Arabidopsis thaliana: one gene and its partner. The protein of the gene in region 2 interacts with the protein of the main gene of each other region in a pairwise test. Each region holds a gene or a part of one and is shown on either strand. Other genes may lie near its edges. The genes, in order: AT1G72290 and RD21A.

The links.
Region 1: the proteins of RD21A (region 2) and AT1G72290 interact in a two-hybrid assay, tested with the Arabidopsis thaliana proteins (one study listed by BioGRID).

What each region holds. Positions count from the first base shown.
Region 1 is NC_003070.9:27,213,830-27,217,619, forward strand, and holds AT1G72290 (Kunitz family trypsin and protease inhibitor protein), read left to right. Parts: upstream 1-1,957; 5' UTR 1,958-2,022; coding exon 2,023-2,670; 3' UTR 2,671-3,028; downstream 3,029-3,790. Other genes in the region: ERO1 (endoplasmic reticulum oxidoreductins 1), read right to left, coding at 1-107, 507-677. UniProt on the Arabidopsis thaliana protein: Water-soluble and chlorophyll-binding protein that probably does not function as a chloroplast chlorophyll carrier and is not involved in photosynthesis.
Region 2 is NC_003070.9:17,283,821-17,287,420, forward strand, and holds the start of RD21A (Granulin repeat cysteine protease family protein), read right to left. Parts: upstream 1,930-3,600; 5' UTR 1,790-1,929; coding exon 1,315-1,789; intron 774-1,314; coding exon 538-773; intron 440-537; coding exon 299-439; intron 1-298.

The DNA of each region.
Region 1 (3,790 bases), 9.9 Mb from region 2:
GTGACGAGATCTTGAAGCAAAGGATTCAAAACCTCAGTGTTGAGATTGTCAACTGTTTCATAATCACAGCAACAGTCCTCAATCATACCTTTGTATTTACCTGTTTTCTGTATAATATCCCAAAGGAAAATCAGAAAGACGAAAAAATCAAATCCTGATCAATACAATTAAGTCCACTGAAAGAGTGAATCTTACAACAACATTGATAATCACACATCCTGCAATAAATCAGTGGCACATTTCAGGGACAACGATTCAAAGCTTTCGCTCAACAATGTCATCAAAAGATTCAATTTTTATTACCCTGAATCCATTGGCTAAACAATGTGATCAAAAAGATTCAATATTTATTATCATGAATCCATAAGATAACAAATATCCACAATTTTTCTCAATACCCAACAAACTTAACATCACGAAAATGTACTTGAGAATCTTAAAGTCAAATTCTTTCATCTGTGATCAAAGCAAAAAGATTGAGAATTTAAGAGAGTAGAATCAAAAACCTGAAGTGAACAGCTACAAGAATTTCGATCGCTGAAGAAGAAACCGACATTGGAATTCGTCCTAGAGCTCACAGCAACTGCCAAAAACACGACAACCAAAGTCGCTAAAGGCCATCGCCATGTTTTTCTCTTCTTTTCGCTCTCTTCTTCTTTGATTGCGCCTTTTCCCATTATGACAAATTACAAAAATGGAAATTGAAATGGGACAAATAAATCCTTTTACAAATAAATATAAAAACACGTTTTTTGAGTCTTCCGGAATTTCTCAAAACCCCATTGTTGTGTTTGTTGTGTCTGAAGTTCGTCTTAAGCAAGCAATGAATGTCATGTAAATGCGTTACTTTCAATGCTGTATTTTTGACATTTCAGCGCGACGTGGGTTTTGTATAACACGCGCGTGTTGGAGCAGTTTGTTATGGTCTCGTGACGTGCATTAACCAATAGGATCCATTTGTTCTCGTAGTAATTAACACGTTGCCTTTTCAACGCTTCCCAGTCAACGACCATTCGTTTGACTAAACGCCTCTTCGGTCCACGCTGTCGTTTTATTGAAGGAATTATATTTTATTTTAATTGGGCCTGCAGGCTAAACTATAAGTCCGTCTGATATGGGTCGGGTTGGGCTTATGAGTTATGGGTCTGGTAGGGGTCAATTAGCTTAATTTCGATATGTGCCCTACTCTCGACCTAACGTTTTGAACACGTAAGAGAGAGTTTCTAATATTGAGTTGTCTAATTAACTCGATAGGCTTATACAAAGTGTTTCCGCATTTTACCTTCTTAATAACTCATCATTCACTAACTAAGAAAAGTTTTACTCAGACCATATCTTCCGCTTCTTGATTATTGTCAATTTGTTGTCACTCAATTTATCTCTTGCAAAATTTAGTTGAAATCATTTGGTTTCATCTTTGGCTCTTGAATAGTTGCATGTGTGTATTTAGTAAGTTCTTTTCAATTAAGAAGGAAGAATAAAACAAATTGTGGCCAGAAACAATTATGTTGAGTTTTATCTCATACGTTGGCTCATTCATCCCCATCTCTCTGCTTTTGAATCATTCTACTCCTCCCATTTTTTGATCGTCCTTTTTCCTGCTTCTGAACATGGATCATTGTGCATGTTCGGATGTTCCTCGATCGTGCTGAAACTCAAAGTCTGAATCGATTACCATAGACTCTCAACCCATCTTTGATATATAAAAAAGAGCCTTAACCCATCTCTTCTACTCTCCCTCTCTAGAAACAAACACATCACGTGATGATCTGTTTCCCCCCATACTTACGGGATGATCAGAATGTGGCATGAGGAAAAAGCCAAGAAATAAGTTGATAAATTTAAGGTTTAATTTAACAAAAATGAGAGATTAATCTTTTCATTTTAGGGTCGCACGCGGTGTTTTGTGCAACCGCAGAAACTTCCTATAAATACCGATACAATGTGCATGCTTTCTACAACTCAACTCACTCAAACCAAAAAAAGAAACATCAAACCCTAAAACACACATAACAATCACAAATGAAGAATCCTTCAGTGATCTCTTTTCTCATCATTCTCCTGTTTGCTGCAACTATTTGCACCCACGGAAATGAACCGGTGAAGGATACAGCCGGAAATCCACTTAACACCCGCGAACAATACTTCATCCAGCCGGTTAAGACCGAGAGTAAAAACGGAGGTGGTCTTGTCCCAGCCGCCATTACAGTACTTCCCTTTTGTCCACTTGGCATCACCCAAACACTTCTTCCCTACCAACCCGGCCTACCGGTTAGCTTCGTATTAGCACTTGGCGTAGGATCAACCGTTATGACATCTTCGGCTGTAAACATCGAGTTCAAGTCCAACATCTGGCCGTTTTGCAAGGAGTTTTCCAAGTTTTGGGAAGTTGATGATTCCTCATCAGCTCCCAAGGAGCCTTCAATTCTCATCGGTGGTAAAATGGGGGACCGAAATAGCTCGTTTAAGATTGAGAAAGCTGGAGAAGGAGCTAGAGCAAACGTTTATAAGTTGACCACCTTTTACGGAACCGTTGGAGCCATCCCAGGGGTTTGGTTAAGCGCACCACAACTAATTATCACCAAGGATACGGCTAAGACCTTACTCGTCAAATTCAAAAAGGTTGATGATGCTACTACGGCTACTAGCAACTTATACTTCCCGGGTTGATAATTTAGGTCTAAGGATGTTCCCGTTCTACTAATCAACTGGTAAAAATTATTGTAATATTAAGCCTGAGACTCGTCCATGGCCTAAAATAATGAGTTATTTTCAAATTTCAATTAATAAGAAAGAAAAATGTGGCCAGATCCAGATACATAGATGTTGAGAATCATTCATAGGCATTGCTGTTGAATCTGTTTAAGGCATGAAATAGTTTTCTTCTTCATTCTACTTTGTATCCGAAAATTTTCTCTCCTCTTGTAAAGATCTTGAGCTTGAGAAAACATTGATCATTCATAGTATAACTTGCTGGACAGAATCTAGCTCCGGACGTGGATCTCGTGACATCGACTAATCAAACCGGATAAATAAACGTGTATGTCTCTTGCTTAATTGAGAGATTAAGATATTTGAGGAGTATCTCAAGGTTTTATCAACAAAGAAACGTAACACTATTCTTTTGATCACGATAGGGTTTCTTTTTTTGGCGTTACTCTATATAGCTTATTTTCCCAAAAACACTCAAAACGACGACGTTTAGCAAGACATATATTATCCAATAAGTTTTAAAAGTCTAAATCAAAAGCTTTCGTTTCACAAAAACCTCTCTCTTTTTTTCTCTCTCTCTCTCTGTCTCTGAATCTTCCATTGATGTTTAGGTATGTCTCAGTTTCTCAGATTCTCATGCTTTGTCTTCTTTCGCGCGTCATACGACTCTTTCTTTTCACTCAATGTCTCTTTGGTAACTATGCACACCAAATGTTCGATTAAATGCCGCTTACAGACCCCACTTGAGTTATTCTGTTAGCATCACAGATTTTTTTGTTTTCTTAGACCTCTTAAGAACGGAGAAATTTCATGGAAGCCAAAGTTGGTTTGATCATACGATACATTCCAGATTTCTAATCAAATCCTTTTATAAAAATCTGCTTTTGATCATGTTAAAGCCAAAGGGTTTTACATAGCTAGAGAGCTACATGTATATAGAAATCGTTTGAATGTCACGAGCTGCATAAATTCCTGTTCTTTACATCATCAAAGCTTCTATTACCATCAAAATTATAATTTACATGGAAATGATGGTTAACATATGCAATTGACAAGAAAAATATGTGTATATTTACTT
Region 2 (3,600 bases):
AACAATATGAACATTTTGAGACCAAAAATAGTGAAAAGCTACTTAATATTCAACCACCTATTAGATGCAATTGTTTCATGCGTTTATATATGAATAAAACTTTACATTTTCAAACACTAGCAACATTTTTTTCAATTTTTCATAGAATTCTTTTGTAAAGTGTAAACGCAAACACCAAACAGAGTTTCTCCTTTCGTTTGTAATTGGCGTATACAATTAACAACAGAAGTGAAATGGATTTATATGCATAAAAACTAACAAACACCTAAGAACTATGAGAAGATGGTTAAATTTGTACCGAATCATAGAGCTGGAACGCACGACCACCAGCCTCAATGGCAATGCTAATGGGTTGATGAGCAACTGCTTTCTTCAACGATTCCTCGCTGTAAGTTGGAACATCCTCATATGAATCGATAGTGACAACTTTAGCGTTTTTCTGTAACAAGAAACCCACAAGAGGATTGATATAAGAATCATAAGTTGTGTTAATAATCAAATGTAATTCCTTGTCAAAACAAAAACCAATGTACTTACCCTGATCTGGTCACAAGTTCCATCAACACCCTTGTAAGGATAATCTTTGTCTGTATCGATTCCACCATTCTTGATAATGAACTCAAAAGCATAGTCCATAAGACCTCCGTTACAACCTTCGTTGTATGAAGTGTCACAATCGACCAACTCTTGTTCAGACAAGGTTATTAGGTCTCCGGTTACGATCTGGTTTATTCCCTCCACTGCTCCAATGGTTGAAAACGCCCAACAACTCCCTTCATTACCAATCATAAGTGTCAACAACATCAGCTTACAACAAAACATTAACATCAAACAGGAACACATATATTCTAATATCAATGTTCTGTAAGGAGGACTAAAATAATGTGCAATTTCTAACATAATCATGACTACGAAATTTAATGTTATAGTTAATCAGATTCATTCATAAACCTTATAACTGAAATTCATAACCAAAATGTACACATTTGAAATGCTGTGAGCCTGTAACCAAGTAAAACCTTATTTTTATGCTTAGGACAAAACAACTATAGCTCACAAGCAAAAATAACTAGACTATAAGTCAACGTCTCTAATTAAGTAATGACTAATGACCTATACACATGATGATTTGTTAAATTATTAGTACTATTAATTTCATTTATTGAGTTTTGTCTTGCTAACTAACACCCATAATTTCCGGAAGGGGCAAATATGTCATTTTCCAAAAGTTTCAAAACTTTATGATTGAATCAAAAAATGATATACTACGATAAGAGTAACTAAAAATGATGGTTAGATCCAGTAGAAACTTACCGCAACCACCCTGATCTTTGACCTCAGCCACGGCTCCTTTCTTCCTCCAGTCAATAGACTCCGGTAGCTCATCACCGACACGAGCCTCGTACCGTAGGCTAGTCCTTCTCTCACCTTTCTTCTCCATCTTAGCTCCAAGATACTTGGATCTATACTCATCGTTAGTAAGATCCGCAAAACGAGTCAAACCCAATCTATAACTAAGATTCTTCTCGTTATGTTCATCGACGAAACGAAGATTGTCTTTAAAGATCTCGAACCGTCGATCTTTCTCAACAAGAGAGTTCTGGCTCTGAGCCTTGCCGTGTTTCACCAACCATGCCTCGTAGATACTCATAACCTCGGCTTCGCTACGGCCACCGGTGGTGGAGACGCCATGTTTCTCGTCGTAGGAGATGATTGACATGTCCACGGCTGATGAAACGGCGACCATCGCTAGAAAAAGAATCGCCATGGTTGGCTTAAGGAACCCCATTTCTTCTTCAGTGTTTTCTTGGAGAAGAAGAAGAGAAAATGATGAAGAAGACGATTGTATGATGGACAAGAGATGGTGGTGGGGTATATATAAAAGCCAAATGAGATAAGTGTAATAATTGTTAGTTTTCTATTTTAATGTTTTCGTTCGTCACTCTTTTTAATTTTCTAAAATAATGGTGACTTGTTCCGAATTTTTTTATTAGAAAGTTCAATTTCGGAAAGGAAAAAATCCGTATGTTAGAAGAAAAAAAAGATAGGAAAAATCCAAATTATTTTTTTGATACGATAGAGAAACAATAAAAGTTATATGTATCCAACAAGTTGAAACGGAATCAAAACAGAAAAAAAGAATTAAAAATAAGTGGATCTAAAATAAATGAAGATAAGTGATTTATGGGCTTCTTTGTAGATAAGATATCATATGGGGTTTGACAAAAAAATAACTCCATGTTGAACTATAATTGAAACTGAAAAAAAAAAGAGTAGCAAATCAGATAATAAATAGTAAATAGTGCATTATTTACAATTTTTCAAATAATGTACATTTACCACTATTACTCATGTTATATTTGAACTAAAAAGAGGGAACCCAAACCAACATCAAATCATTTTTTTGTTTGTTATTATTATCCCTTTTCTCATTTCCTCTTTTTCCCAACAAAAATTTATGAGTCAAGTTTTCTTAATAATATTGAAAAGAAAAGTGGGCCAAAATAAATCTTGAGCCAAAAAAGAAAAGAACTCAAATCATTCTTTTTGTCATTTTAATAAGAAAAAAAAAATCAAAAACTTCAAATAAATGAACAAATCATCTCTAAACTTATACTTAATTGTATTTATTTTCTTAAATATTCAAAAACAAAAACTTGAGCCAAAATCCGATTTAAAAATCCTAATTAATTTCAGGGTCGGTTGAGATATTTTGATAAGTGAAAAAAAAAACAATAGTGTAAAGATGAAATCTATAAATGTGAATATGTGATGGTCAATTATTGGTTAGACAATATGGGTAGGAAGAGATGAGACGTCACTGATCTCTAATTGGCAAGCCAAAAATAAAATGTCCACACAAATAGGAGCGCGTGTTCTCACGTATTGTAAAAGACGCGTGGATAGGATTGTTACATGTAACTCGAGATTCTTATGAGTTTTTGATAATATAGAATCTAAAGTCTTACAAGTTACCATTATGAAATTAGATTGTTGTCTCTATTATTATGATTCCTTCCGAAATTAAAAGACTCAAAATATTTTCTATAATTTATTCATTTTACTCAAACTTCTTTAATATAATGCTTTCAAGAGTTAGCTTGTGACAATAGAACACTTGCTCTCTTTTTTTCGTCAGAGAATTAATAAAAATTATTATATTCAAGTGACATCGAATATTATACTTATCAAAATAAAAAAAATAATATTGTAATTTAGAGTTTTGGAAAAGAAAAAACTCAACAATAGTTTTGCGTGTAGAGATACACTGATGACGATATTGGAATTTATACATTCAATAAAAAGTATTAATGTGAAACGTATAATATGACTGAATAACGAATCATTAATTAGTATTTTAGAACTTTATTACACGCTAGTGTACATATGGCCAAAAACATTGAGACACAACTAACGCTCCTAGCCTAAGGGGAACTACATTCTATAATGAATCATAATAAGATGTACACTCAATAATCATAGACACATACTTTGAATGGAGACGATACGGTGCGAGACAAAAGAATATCAAAACTACATGTAAATTTTCTTTTTTTAATGCTTTGAACCGCACCTACCCACCTCCATGCTCCAAGTCAC